2 linked regions of the Astyanax mexicanus genome follow. The protein of the gene in region 2 interacts with the protein of the main gene of each other region in a pairwise test. Links are inferred from orthologs where the notes say so. Each region holds a gene or a part of one and is shown on either strand. Other genes may lie near its edges.

Region 1 (7,999 bases), on a different chromosome or scaffold from region 2:
TAGCTAATATCGCCCTGGCTTACCGGAACACTCCGGGTTTCTTAGTGCAGTTCTGTCGGGCAGCATTTATTAGTGCTTACTGTGGCTAGCACTAGTGGTTATCTGCTAATGCTAATACTGCTGCACACAGCCTTATTGGAAATCTGGAAATCTTAGCTTACTGTAAATAAACTGAGGGGCTTTACTCCCCCAAATAAACAGTTTGCAGGAGAGAAATCTGTGTAGATTAACATTCAGCACTCATTAGACTTTAAAAGAAAATGTTTTTCTAAGAATTACAGTTTTATTTACTTAGCTTAACAGGTGGTTATGCCAGATACTGGTGTATTTGGAAAAGCACAGATTTTACCAGTACTTAGATGGAGGTCAGAACAGGTGGGACAATTCATGACACCAAGCTATGTTCTATTAATCATGTAGCTTGTAAAAAAGAGAGTTTTACAGAGGCAGCATAATTGACGTGTACCATGTCTGATCTCACATTTTCAAGTGATGACTACATTATGTCACAGATTTTATCAGAAAAAGAGGAAAGTGCAGTTTGGTCTGAATGTACCAACAATATACTTACGGGAAAGAGTCAGTGAACTGGAAGATAAACTGCTGCTCAACTCCACAAGGCATGTGGACCATCTGTCTGCAGCTTTTAATAAAGCATCCTACCGAAGCACCAACCTTTTTACAGGCAACGCACCTCTGCATAAGCAGGGGAAAAAAAGAGAGAGTTGGGGGGTATTTCTCATACAAAAAGATACCTACATTATACACAACATGCATTCAACATTAACATTTAAAAATCAGGGGATAGCATTGTGTAAACTGATCATGAAGTGCTACTGCAGGGGTGGCTTGGGAACTACCACACCTGTATAAGTTGTGAGGTGTAATATTGTGAGTGAGTTAGGCCAGAAACTCCTGCCAGAATGTTTATAACAAAGGGATGTGAATTATCAAGGTCTGAAAGTGGGTGCCAGATGGATTGCAGGCATTTGATATTCCTCCACTGTGTCATATGAGGCAGTACCACACAGAGGGCAGCACAGTGGGCAATAAAGATCATGAACATTGGCATCTAGTTAAGTGAAGGGTTTGTTATCTTCCATGGGACATAACAAAATTCAAAAAACACAATAGTAGCTCATGTCTTTTGACAGTGTATATTGCTCTGAAATACTGTTCTTTGACTCGTATCAAAAAACATGCAATACATTGTCAAAAGTTTTCGTTCACCCATCATTGAACTCAGGTTCCAGTCACTTCCATGGCCACAGGTTTTTAAAACCAAGCACCCAGACATGCAGACTGCTAAATCCAGTTGTGCTATTATTCCAAGGTGTCAAAATGACATAAAATGACAGTGCAGGGTACTACTGTGCAGAGGTCGCCAACTTTCTGCAGAGTAAATCGCTACAGACCTCCAATCTTTATGTGGCCTTCAGAGTAGCTCAAGAACATTAAAAGTGCTTCATGGAATGGGTTTCCAGGGCCAAGCAATTCTATTCAAGTCTCATCACCAAACACCATGGCAATGTAGTGCATGTTTAATATTTAGCTAGGCTCACCAAAACAAACTGTCAGTTACATCCAGTTACTACATCCTCAACGTGACCAAAAAAAAAAATCATACTTGGGTTAAAGTGTTTATTTACCAGTCTGGAAGATCTGCGAATCTCCTGCTTTATGTCATCTACAAGAAAGCCATGAATACCCTCATGCTCTTTTCCTCTCTGGAATATTCCACTGGACATCAGCTGTCAACAGGAAAGCGGTTATATAAACATAGCAAACAGAAGCAAAATCAACATAAACATAAGTTGTTTGGCAATGGCCGAGACGATTTGTCAAATGCGGCTCCATTTAAAAGGGAAATTAACAGGCTTTCCAACAGTATAATATATATATACGATAAACATACAATAAGAATAGTTACAACAAATATATAATCTATCAACCAAACACAAATTCCCACAGTAGCATTAGTTCAGAACACTACTGACACTGACATACAGTTAGTTGTCATAATACAAGCCTTGTTGGAGTAGCTAGCTAACCTTTTTGTTATCAACACAAGCCACATGGTCTGTGAAACCAGTAGTTAATACAATGAATATAAATGTTATAACATGTTTGAATTAAACGCTGAACAGTGTAAATATTAAAACAATAAATTGTGTACATGTGCATCAATGTATAATTAAACAAACAGGTTATAAATGACATTTATGACATGGTTTCATTTTTTTTGGTTTGGTGCCTCAGGACAACATTAGCCAGGCCTCTTTTTAGGCAAATAAAACAACATTCAAGCCACAGAGGCTTAACAGTAACTTCAAAATGTTTGTTTTTAATAGCCCAGCTAAGCTAACTAGTTAGCTAAGCTAGCTATGCTAGCATTACTCACCAGGCAGAAATAATGGACGGTGATGTTGTGCTTTTTAAGGGTGAACTTCTCTCCATATTTGTCTGGACAGTTGTCACGTCGATTGCAGAGCTGACAAACTAAAGAACAAAGCAGTGTTCACAGCTTGAGCTTAACGTTCAATTCCTGCTAAATAGTTAACTATAAAACATACATTATGTTTTATTTAACGTTAATGGAATTAAACGAAGAATGAACGTTAGTCTAACTTACCGTCGTTGACAGAGCCCACCAGTCGTTCAGCACACTTCTTTGTCTTCCTCATTTTTAGACTTTTATCGTTAAACGAGCGACAGCTGACTGTTTAAATGTTGTCCAAAATACGTTACACGTTAAAATTCACTAACATATAAAAATACAAAAAGTTACAGTAGGCAACTTTAACGTTTATTCTTGGCCTCGTGATTCTCACACTCAATAACAGTTAATAAAAACCTGATCATCCTCCTCTTTATAACTAACAGTAACAGTAATAACCTGTAACGTTAGCTCTCCGCCGCCTCTGTAGTTTAATATATATATAACGCTAATAATCTAAGTTAGTTATCTGGGTCTGGTCTGGGTCTTTAACGTTAAATTACTTTACTAGTCTGTGTAATAAAGCTCGCATCGCCTCAAGTCAGCTCGCTTTCGATAAATCTACCGCTCAGCACAGCTCAGGCTCCAGACCGCTCTTCTCCTGGTTCCAAAATAAAGCCGATTCCACTAAAAATCCAGAAATTAAAGGGCTCTCTCCGCTCTCCGCTTCACAAATCAATCCTCTGTTTTCGAAAATCCCTCTGCCGATGAAGCCCCGCCCAGCTCGCTCCTGATTGGTTCATTCAAATAATAACAGCCACAGAGCGAGGAGAACTGAGGTTATGCCAGAGGACGGCCCACATGTATGTCTCGCTGCAGCCTATAGGAGGCGGGGTTATACATATAACCCCGCCCACATCTAACCCCGCCCTCTACTGTGCTCTGGTTCGTTCAAGAGGTACTGACCCCCATATTAGACATGTGTACATGTGCAGCGTAGCAGCCGACCGCCATATTGGAGGAGTCAACTATGCTCCCCCAGTGCATTTATTTGTACCATAGACTGTATATATATTTTTTACAGTCTCTGATTTGTACGGAGTAAGGTGTTTAATACAGCTATAATAATCACAACTCTACCAATTATTACCCAATGTTCACACGGTTTGGTTTGTTACAAACGGCATAGATGTAGTTATGATTCAGGACGCTGTCACACATCACAAATAACAGCTACGTGCTTTCATGCTGCAATACTTTTTATTAAATTTTTTAACAAAGATAGACATGTGGTATGGCATATTAATAAGTGTATAAATAAATTCATTTTATATTTATATATACATCAATACACACATAATTGGGTAAATCGTTATGATTATTATAGGTGTAATAAACACCTTCTTCAGTACAAATTAATGCGCTAGAGGCGCATGGTTGACTCCTCCAATATGGCGGCCGGCTGACGCCCATAGACATAATAATATACGCAGACGCCTCGTTACGGGCTGGAGCGTCACCGCCATATTGGTTGGGTCTCCTCACTCTAGGCCAGCACCAAACCCTAATAAATTAAGAGCTGAAAGAAAAGCTTGAATTCCACTTAGGTAAAATAAACCCATAATATAACTTTGAATTGTAGGTTATACTGTCAGACTGTAAAAAGGTATAATTTCAAGAGAACTTACTAACTAGTTAGTATTAACTGAATTTCAGATCTTCAGATTGACAGTTTGTCAGTTACGTAAGACTGTCAGTTACGTAAGTGTGCAAATCAGTAAGTGAGTCAGTCTGTTAAGTTAGTGAGTGTGACTGTGTGAGTCAGTCAGTCTGTCTGTCAGTCTGTCTGTCAGTTAAGTGAGTGTGAGTGAGTCAGTAAGTGGGCCAGCCAGCCAGTCAGTCAGTCTGTCTCTCTGTCTGTCAGTTGAGTAAGTGAGTGTGAGTCAGTAAGTGAGTCAATCAGTCTGTTAAGTGAGTGAGTGTGAGTGGGTGAATCAGTCTGTCTGTCTGTCTGTTTGTCTGTCTGTCTAGTGAGTCAGTCAGTTTAGTGAGTGTGAATGAGTCAGTTAGTGGGCCATTCAGTGTGTCAGTCTGTTTAGTGAGTGATTGTGAGTGGGTGAATCAGTCAAACAGAAGAACAGACAGACAGACTGATTCACCCACTCACACTCACTCACTTAACAGACTGACAGACTGAATGGCCCACTGTCAGTCTGTTAAGTGAGTGAGTGTGAGTGGGTGAATCAGTCTGTCTGTCTGTCTGTCTAGTGAGTCAGTCAGTTTAGTGAGTGTGAATGAGTCAGTAAGTGGGCCATTCAGTCTGTCAGTCTGTTAAGCGAGTGAGTGTGAGTGGGACAGTCAGTCAGTCAGTCAGTCAGTCAGTGTGTCTGTCTGTCTGTCTGTCAGCCAAGTGAGTGTGAGTGAGTTAGTGAGTGAGTCAGTCAGTCAGTCTTCCTGTCTGTCAGCCAGTCTATTTTTCTGTCTGTCTTTCTGTTTATCTATCTGTCAGTAAAGTGATTGTGAGAAAATCCGTCAGCCTGTCAGTCAAGTAATTAAGTAACTTAGAATGAGTTAGTCTGTCTGTGTGTCTTGTGCACATCACAGCAGCCATGTATCTTATTAATTTTATTTAAATAGCAAATGCTATGTCATGATCCAGCAAATTATTTTTTTATTTTATCTCTCTGCTGATTTCCACATTTTCCACTTTTGTCATAACATGTATTATACTTTACTCTGCTGAACTGTCCTACCCATCTAACATAGTTCACTGCTTACTTAACTACATTCTAAATGATTGGTAAATCACTTCAATTCACAGCAAGAGGGCAGCATTTGACATTGCTTGAACAGCAAGTTGCATGTAACAATCTGCTAGATATATAAAATAATGCAAAAAATATACAACCCCCCCCAAAAAAAAAAAAATTGCATAGAAAGACACAATAAATCTGCAATCAAAATATTTGTGTCACAGTCCTGTGACATTATCTCTTGCTATATCATATCATATGCAATAATACAATTATTTTTTTTAATTTTGTTGCAGTAGTGTATTCATGAATTTGAATTCTTATTAATTGTTTTGACATATCTCCAAGAGAATCGTTATCACAGAAAATGCCATGAAATATTATTATTTATTATTTTAGGGCCATATCGCACATACATATTGTCTAGCCTAATATTACAAGGTGTGAGGAACCTTCTCACCAAAAATTCCATAACTCCAAGAGTGTGCATAACCAGCATAACCATTAAATCTTATTGCAACCTCAGTACTGTCAACACAAACCAGTAGATGGTGGTAAAGGCACAGTAGATCACAGTGTTCACACTTCACTGCTGAGTGTGAAATGTGTGTTTATTCTGTCAGTATAGTCATAGTTTATAGTTTTTACTTACTTCCCTCACCGTAAATAATAATTAATGAATAATTCATAACAAAAAAAATAAATATCATTAAATAATCATATGATAATATGACACACTTTATTAATAACAGGAAACCTTACAGTAATTATAAGAAAAGTATCGTAAAGTTAAAAGAAAGGCATCATTTAATTATATAACAGTAATCAGATTAGATCCAAAATTTAGAAATATGAAAAAAAAATTGGTGACCATATTTAAATTTTGCAAAGCTTTCTTACTCCTATTAGGCTTGTTACCATATTAAATTTGAGTGGAAATCTGAATAAAAAAATCGGCTTTACTCAAGTTTACTCAGCTTTACTCAGCTTTAAGTTTTATATCAGAAGTACAACTATGAGCACAAAGGACTTGAGACATGTGATAGAATAGGATTTGACAGAAAAAGATTCCTTCTGGCAACAGGAAGACTCTGTGTAGCACACAGCATAATAGTTTCTGTCGCACTTTTGGCAGCACTCAGATGGTGGCAGGATGCCACTGTTTGGCTGCTGTTGGTCATGCCTGCATTTGCCCAGCCAGATGTGCTACCGGGATCTAGCGTATCACCTTCTGATACGCTTTATGGGTCTTTCAAAGCTAAACGCTGTGAAACCAGTCAGGTGCTTCTGTTTGGCTGAAACCAAAGTTAGTTAGAAAGAGGATACGATCAGTGAACCACATGTTTACCCTCGATCCTGAAGAGAAATACCCTCCCACACAGTACGTCTCAGCTGTAGCTGCCGGAAAGTATTTTAAGCAGAGGATGCAGAGGTGTAGCTGTTATTATGTATGCGATAATATTTGTTTATATGTATAATTTTTTATACTTAATGTAGTCAGACAAATTTACAGAACAGCTGGCATTCTGTGGGCAGCACTGAATTTTAGATCCTATTTACACTTGGTCACTATTTACACTATGCATCTTGAGTATTAGAATTATATCTAAATTAGGACAAACCACATTAAATCCAAGTATAAACACACCCAAGACGCATTTAAAACAGATACAAATCTGATTTAAAAACTCAAACCATTTCAGGAGGTGGTTATAGGCTCTGTTCACACTGCAGTGGTGCATCTAGGTTTTTTTCTGAGTAATAGGCCATCAGGGGGGCACAATATAATTAAATATACGGAGGGGTCAAATATAATTTTACTAGCTACACCATTATTCTCTAATTGTACAATAAAATACCATGGCCTTAATAATATTTGATAATGGTGGTATGATATATTTTGTTTGTTTTTATGGTTGTTCACATATATAAATAAACAGTAAAAGTATTTTAGCTAGTCATTATTTTAAAAAAGTTGTCTTTAAAAGGGTTTAACTGCTTTGTTATGCGATTATACAGCTCTGGAAAAAAATAAAGTTTGCCATTAAAAGGTATATTTTTGAGTAAAATCAACATTGTTGTTTTATTCTATAAACTACAGACAACATTTCTCCCAAATTCCAATTAAAACATTCTCATTTAGAGCATTTATTTGCAGAAAACTTGAAATGGCTGAAATAACAAAAAAAAGATGCAGAGCTTTCAGATCTCAAATAATGCAAAGATCAATATTTGGAAGAGAAACCCTGGTTTTAATCACAGTTTTCGTGCATCTTGGAATCATGTTCTCCTCCACCAGTCTTACACACTGCTTTTGGATAACTTTATGCTGCTTTACTCCTGGTGCAAAAATTCAAGCAGTTCAGTTTGGTGGTTTGATGGCTTGTGATCATCCATCTTCTATTTGATTATATTCCAGAGGTTTTCATTTTGGTAAAATCAAGGAAAAACAGCAGCATTAGGCAGTCTCTTATTTCCAGAGCTGAATTATCATTGTATTAGTAACATTTAATGGTCTTAAAATGACAATAATATCGTTTATTGCAATAATTTCAGGGAAGAAATTTTTTAAACACAAAAAAATTTGTTTCATGACAGGTCTACCCATGATGCATGATGTTAATAGCATCCATCTCTCCAAGACACACCAAACAACCATAATTCCTCTCAGTAAAACCAAAACAACAGTAATAACTGATGTGCAATAAGACAATGAATGTGTACATTCTGTTCCACACAGCAATCAGATTTCAGCTGGAGCATGCATGTGGCTTTATTATCCTTATTAGAAAATAATCCAGATCCAGAT
Region 2 (7,761 bases):
ATTAAATAAAACAATATTATTTAAAAGAATGACACACGACAACATGATGAAGAGTGATGATAAAAAATAATCAATTAAAATAAATAATGATGGCTATCTGCAAATAATATTGATGACATTCAAAATCTAAATCTGCAGTTTCGCCTGTCACAATAACTTTTATATATCCATATTTTTATTTTAAGACCATTTTAGTGGCCTTAAACATTTAATTATTAAGAATATTTAGACTTTTCAGACTACTTAGAATTGAAATGATGCTCACGAAGCAGAAAAAAGTGACACAATAACTGTGAATAATATATGATAAACATCATTAATATCATTTATATAATTGCCAATTGATTTATGTTAAAATTAATATTCATCAAACTGTTGTTGCTCAAATATGTTAAATACTGAAATCATCTTTAATACATTTAAAATCTTTTTTTCTGAGTATGTTCTGAGCATCAGTATTCTGGGAAATATTTAATTTTACTATATTAAACAGCATATAAACTAAACAGACTCACTAGTTATAAATATGAACAGATGTAACAGAAGCAGTTTTAGTGGTATGGAGTGGAGAACGAACACACTGACATCAAACTGCTGATAATGCATTACATCATTTTGGTCCAGATCCTCTGGCTCGTTCCCATTGGTCCCTCCGATCCCTGGAAAAAAGACAAACAAAACGAAAAAAACGTGATAAACTTATATAAATATATTTTTGCCTTTGCTGATAATTTATGGTGTAACAGATAACCGACAATCAGTGATCTGTCCAAATCTCCCTCCTGCCCCGCCCCTAAACCCATACATCACTCAGTCACCCAGTGACTTCATCGCAACGTCACTTTGTTTTAAGATCGTGTAGCCCTAATAAACACCACAGACAGGATGCACCTGGATATCTGAGGAGGAACAGGTGAGACAGGTGGAGTTTACCTGGCCCCGGGGAGCTGTTTGTGACGACGTAGCTCCCGTCTCCATCCACATCCTCCAGGTTAGTGATCAGGTTCGGCACCAGAGCCATCACTTCTCTCTGCACCTGCAGGAAACGGGGAAAAGAGAGTATTAAGAAATAGGCTTTAAAGAAACTTTAACATTTATTTTATTTATCTACAGTGTCTCATGTATAATATGTATAAAATGCTGTAAAATAACAGTGCCTTCAGACTTTTGGAGAACAAACCAACACCTGTTATCCTTTTTAATTCAGATAGAATTTAGAGAATTTAAGCTAATCTTTATTTATTTTATTAGTTTTAAAGTAATACATGTGTAATATCAGATATCTGCTCAGAATTCCCACAAATCAATTAATCAATAAATCAATTAACCTTTATTTAGTCTCAGATTTAAATTGAAACTAAACTGAAACGGAGAATCACCTCATTTTAAATGTAGCTGAATATTTAATATTGAATGAAGAAAAACTAAAAATTAAAATAAAGTTTATGCGAGCGCTGCACTTATGGTGGTCAGTGTGTATCTGTGTTATAAATCAGGTCAAACTTTTGGAACTGGTCCGAGACCAAAAAGCAAAAAAAGCAAATTAAAGCTCTATCTGGACGGGATGATTTTCTCAGTGTAGCATCTGTGTTAAATATTTCACACTTCTACTCTTTAGTGATTAAAACTCCTGCATCCGGGCTGCAATTGAATAAAAAGGAGGACCAGTGAGTTTTTAGGCTTTAGTTTTTCTCGGTCACATGACATCATCACGGCGTTCAGTAGCTCCTCCATTTCCACTCGCTGTTGTGTTTTTCTTACGTGGATCTCCATGGAAACTATTGCGCGTCCAAAATGTAATTACGGTGCGCGGCAGTGGACAAATATCTATTTTATTAAAAGTGAGGAAACGAAACTCAGAGATGTGCGTCCGGACAGGACTAAAATTACCGGAGGAGCACGGAGTTCAGAGAAAAACAGTAGATAATTCAGCCTGTAATTTTCTCAGAGGACGTCCGAGAAAAACACGTACACTGTAAACCCGTACGTTTGTTTGAACTCAAATGATTTAAGTCTGTTTTACATAAAATTGGATTTTTCTAAACAATACTCAACTATTTTGAGTTACTGTACTATTCAAACTGAGGACTTTGAGTTGAACCAACTTATAATAACTGAGTTTAGTCTGTTTTGCCATCAACAGTTTCTTTTCTATTGGCTTCTTTCACACTCTATTTGCATACTGGGCGTGTCCAACAGTTTCTGACAGACACTCACCATCAGTGTGTAGTGATTCCCCCCCTGGGCTACCTTACAAATAAATCAACTTCCCCTTTAGTTGTAAGACCTTAATGTTTTAATTTATAATAACTCAAAAAAATTGAGAAAATCAGCTGCCTTAAAAAAAAGTTAGGTAAACTCAACTTATCTGGTTCTTACATATATGCTAAATGAAGTTTTTATTACCCATTACTTAACTTTTTAAGTCTCAATTTTTTTAAGTAAATTTAACTTATCCGGGCTTACAGTGTACATGGTTGTTCTGGACAGGAATAAAATCACAGAGGATAAAAACTATCCCAAAACCCCCTGAGAAACTAATTCCATCCAGATAGGGCTTTAGAGATGTATTTAATAAGACGGTAGTGACTGTACCTGTGTGAGGGCGGTGAGCGGCATCCCCGACGCCTGCTGCTCCTGCCGCCTCTGCAGCGCCACCCGGCACTCCACCTTCAGCCTCTTCCACAGGGTTTTGAGGGAGCCCACGCTGCTGGGCGGCCGGTTGGGGAAAGCCTCGTTGAAGGCCTGGGCGAGTTCGGCCCACACAGCGTTCCGGTACACAGTGGTGTTGGTGTCTTTACGGAAGTCCTGCACGGCGTCCACCACGCTGTGGATCTTCTGCAGCAGGTAGAGCTTCTGCTCCAGAGTGAAGTTGGGCATCCTGTACGTCATGGTGGTGAGCATCTTCATTTGCGATGTGTGTGAATATGAGAGTGTGTGTGTGTGTGTGTGTGTGTGAGGAATGCTGTTGGTATAAAGTCAGGAAGGATCACACACAGAGGAATAAGGCTGCTGGTCAGTCGACTCGTTCATGGAGTTCTAACCTGGTATACAGAAGCGTCCATTTACGTCCAAAAGTACAAAATGTTCTATATGCTATAAACGCTACATAACAGAAGTTATGGGGTTATGTATTCATCACAGGTCTGTTGTGAATTTGGTCCCTTCGATAAGCGTTAAGTCACATTTGATGCGACATACTTAAAAAAGAAAAAGAAAAAAAACTACAAAATATATAAACTATATTTTAAGAAAATAACAAAAATATAAGTTTAAGACTCTGTGTGTGTAAGGCTGCTCGGTCAACAACGGCAACATCCACACGGTGGGCCTGCTGTCCGTCGACGCATCCGGGATCTGAGGGGAAAAATAAAGATAAAAATAAATACTTATTAAATATCTTTTGACATAATAAGTAAGTTGTAAGTTTTCTTTATTTTTTTAATTATTATTTTTTTTACCACTGAACAAATTAAATAACCTTAATGAATTTCGCTATCTAAAAACTACAATTAACAATATTTATTGAACAAAAAAAAAAAGAAAATCATAAAATGGGATAAATATTCATTATTCCCCATTTTTGTAAAAGTGAAATAAAAAACTAGAACCCTGGAAAATAACTTTTTTTTTTTCTTCACTAAACCAAATGGAAAAAACACGTGAAGCATATATAGCAGATACATGGTTCATGTAGTCAGTCTCTCTGTAAGTTATAAATGTGTAATATCACTATCTGTTTATATGTGCGTTTTATCAGATACCGGTAGATATGCATATTTTACTGGCTATCAGTAGATATATACATTTTATCGTTTATCGGTAGATAATACACATTTTATCAGATATTGGTATATATATATATATATATATATATATATATATATATATATATATATATATATATATATATATATTTTTTTTTTTTTTTTTTTTTATAGAGATTTTATTGGATATAAAAGTAGACACACATTTTATTGGTTATCAGTAGATATACACATTTTATAGTATGTCGGTAGATATATAAATTTTATCGGATAGCAGTAGATATATACATTTTATCGATTTTGTCATATACTGGTAGATAATACGCATTTTATCAGATATCGGTAGATATGTTACATATTTTATCGGGTTAAACTGTCAAATTCTGTAATAATTGTGAGTATTAGTGGGTAATAACTGAGCGCTGTTAGGAGGAATTCTGCTGCTGTAAGTGATCAGCTCTCTGTTTCTCTACTGTTTTATTAATTTACTGCGGGTTTTTTTCTGTTACTGTGTTAAACTGTGTTTATTTAAAGGTAAAAATACAAAAAACAAGCCTTATATTAGAAGATGCTCCCAGCAGAAGTGTATGTAGGATCGTTAAATAGCTTAAATCACTGTATCACAGTAAAATGAAGGTATAGATAAGATAATACTTTATGAGTCCCACAGTGGCGGAAATTCACAGTATTATATGATATACACATTTTATCGGTTTATCGTGTATTGGTAGATATACACATGTTATCGGTTATCGGCATCGGCTCAGACTTCCTGAATCAGTGCATCCCTACAGAACAGGAGTAAGTTGCAGCAGGAGAGCAGGAGAAAAGCGGGAGTTTGAACAGGATATAACAGTGTTACAGTGAGTAAATCTGCAGTGTATAATGTGTATATTCTGAGGTAAACGCTGAGAGAGTGTTTACAGCTGAAGCCCTCAGCCCGAGACTAGGTTTAATCCCTCTGTCTGCCCGCTGTCTCCCTCCCACACATTGATCTCAGCTCAGATTTATATTAATATCATTATTACACTGTAATAAATATGATATTACACATTAATGCGCTGATTCTGATGCAGTTTCGGGGTTTTAGCGCCTCTAAAAGCCTCAAAACCGCAACTTTAGCCCGTCTGTTTAGCCCGCTTAGCCTGTTAGCCGTTAGCCGCGCTGCTAAACCGCTGCACCGTATTAGCGGGTTAGAGACTAGGATTAGGGCTAACGCTAAGGCTAACATTTCCCCGCGCGCCCAAACACACCGAAAACACCCCACGAGCCCCGCGCTGCAGCCCGCGCGCCCCGGTACACTCACCTGCACGCGGAACGATTGAACTCCGCTATAAATGATACTTTGTTGCTCCCACCCCTTTATGTTTGAGCGGCCCGCACCAAATTCAAACAACAGAGAGCTGCTCTGCGCAGCGGCCGCAATCTGCGTAACCGGGGGAGCGGGGCAGCGGCGCGGTGCGCATGCGCTGCGCAAATCCCCGGATCTACAGATCATACCCGCCTGGGATTCACTAACACTGCGCGGAGCAGATGATCTATAGATCTGCGTCTGAGTGCCGCCGAGACTCCGCTCATAATAATAAACAGCCGGAGAGATATTCCTTTATTCTTATTACTACGCTGTAACACGCTGCTCTCACACCATATATATACACCCGGCAGATAAAACGAATAATAATCTGGATATATTCTTCCTTTTATTCGTTTTTTTAACATTCGTTATTGAATGTAATGTAAAAAAGAACATAATAACCAGAAGTTTAAAGAGAATAGTTTTTTTTTTTATTGAAAGTAACAAATTATGTCCAAAAAATCATTAACATTCCCATTGGATAAACTATAAAAACTTAATTTCTTCAAAAAAGTCAGATACCACATTACAAAATTGCAATTACTAAACCCTTAGAATTGTTCATTTGTATGTTTAATAACCCCCCCCCCCCAAAAAAAAAAAATCTAAAAAGCAATGATGGAATATTTAAGCAAACATATGAAGGAAAGAATGGACGCATTGTGTGTCTATAGATAGACATTTTTCCTTTCTTTCTTTTGTTGTTTATAACTAATTATATGTGTTTTAGAGGCAAGTGTTTTAGAATACATTTTACATTGTATTTCTATATTACATCAATTGAACACATTATATTACACAATCCAATAAAAAAATAAAAACAATGCATTCCCATAGAACTGCAATAAAATAAATATATAAACTAATTGGAGTGCAAAGAAAAATAGAAATAGATTTTAAAACATTTTAAATATTTATTGTGAAATTTGCACATTGACCAAATTGCTGATATTTAAGAATTAAAATTGTATGTGTTAATAGCAGCTAAGAAATATATTTAAAAATGTTTTTATTTAATTATGAAATTGCATATTTAACACAATTGCTGATATTTAAGTATAATATAAATGTTCATAGCAGCTGAAAAATATATTTACACTTTTTATATATTTGAATATTTTATTGTGATTAAAATATATAATATATTTTTGGGTTATGTGATGTAGGTGATATCTTAATTTAAATTTTGCATTTTAAATATTTGTTTACTACGCCACCGCCATAAACATAACCTAAAAGAGAGAAAAGTCTCCAATAACTGATAATTATATATTATACAAAAAAGTATTAGCATGATAAATAACCTACATAATACAAGATAAGAATACATTTCTAAAAAGTTTAGACAAAATATGATTATATGTGTTCTCCAGTCGTGTTAATTTTGAAATTGTGTAATTTGTTAATTTACTTTAAAGAAATGTAACGTAAAAGAAATACTGTAGAAATATAATGTTTAAAAGTCCTCCAGTAGGAGCGCTTTGATCTACAAAGGGGGCGGGACGCTTCAGTATGCTGGGCTGTGATTGGTCAGAGCTTTCGGTTGTGCGGAAGTTACCCGGATAAACACACATGTCTGCCCGCAGTGAGACACGCTGGTGCTGAATATAAAGAGAATTGAGTTAAATTCTGTAATAATTCGGATTATTTAGTTTATATATTTGTGTGTATGGAGTTGTGAGTATTAATAGGTAACAACAGAGCGCTTTTAGGAGGAATTCTGCTGCTGTAAGTGATCAGCTCTCTGTTTCTCTACTGTTTTACTGATTAACTGAGTGGTTTCTGTGTTAAACTGTGTTACTCTGGTGATTATTTAAAGATAAAAACACAATAAACAAGCACTATATTAGAACATGCTCCCTGCAGTAGCGTAGGTAGGATATTTAAATAGCTTACAAATCTGTATCACAGTAAAACTAATGTAATGCAATGTATTTTATCTACCTTAACAGTACAATATATACAATATAATATAAATAATAATAAGTAAAGAAATCTTAAGACTGCATTTACAAACAACTGCACATTGCCTCTTGGTTGCACAGAGTAATGGAACAATATTGTACATTATGTTACACATAGAGGTGATTGGAAACAGTCTTTTATGCTATATTATAGTTTAATAATTTTAATAAAAACACTGAAGCAAATAATGAAAAAAGCTCAGGTTGTTTGATGCACCCAAAAAAAGCCAAATTATCATTAAAAACAGAAAAAACATAAAATGATTAAATAATAAAACATGAAATAATTGGCAGATAAATTGTTAGATTTTTAAAAGTATTTAATTTGTAATTTTTGCAAAAGATTTACACCTAAAATGGGACTTATGTTTCTTCACTCAACGTTTATGAATGAATAATTTCTCTAAAAGTACCAACAACTAACTTTATTGCAAGCAGTTAAATATGCAGAATGTTGATTAGTCAGCATTACCGCAAAGCCTGAGGATTGTGGGTAATGTAGTGAGAAAGAGATAAGATACAACTGTAAAAAATGAAGAGATCACTTCAGTTTCTGAATCAGTTTCTCTGATTCTGCTATTTATAGGTTTATGTTTGAGTAAAATGAACATTGTTGTTTTATTCTATAAACTACAGACAACATTTCTCCCAAATTCCAAATAAAAATATTCTCATT

What was found.
Region 1: the proteins of wdr6 (region 2) and g2e3 interact in a two-hybrid assay, tested with the Homo sapiens proteins (2 studies listed by BioGRID and IntAct). The two-hybrid records come from large-scale screens. The link is inferred for Astyanax mexicanus from reciprocal best matches to the Homo sapiens genes WDR6 and G2E3.

Annotation. Positions count from the first base shown.
Region 1 is NC_064421.1:45,549,093-45,557,091, forward strand, and holds the start of g2e3 (G2/M phase-specific E3 ubiquitin-protein ligase), read right to left. Parts: upstream 3,139-7,999; 5' UTR 2,685-3,138; coding exon 2,633-2,684; intron 2,500-2,632; coding exon 2,402-2,499; intron 1,752-2,401; coding exon 1,650-1,751; intron 697-1,649; coding exon 572-696; intron 1-571. UniProt on the Homo sapiens protein: E3 ubiquitin-protein ligase which accepts ubiquitin from an E2 ubiquitin-conjugating enzyme in the form of a thioester and then directly transfers the ubiquitin to targeted substrates. Essential in early embryonic development to prevent apoptotic death.
Region 2 is NC_064419.1:49,950,709-49,958,469, forward strand, and holds the start of wdr6 (WD repeat-containing protein 6), read left to right. Parts: upstream 1-4,557; 5' UTR 4,558-4,629; coding exon 4,630-4,630; intron 4,631-5,073; exon of another isoform or gene 5,074-5,206; intron 5,207-6,675; exon of another isoform or gene 6,676-6,849; intron 6,850-7,761. Other genes in the region: fibrinogen silencer-binding protein, read right to left, coding at 586-659, 934-1,036, 2,596-2,910. UniProt on the Homo sapiens protein: Together with methyltransferase FTSJ1, methylates the 2'-O-ribose of nucleotides at position 34 of the tRNA anticodon loop of substrate tRNAs. Required for the correct positioning of the substrate tRNA for methylation.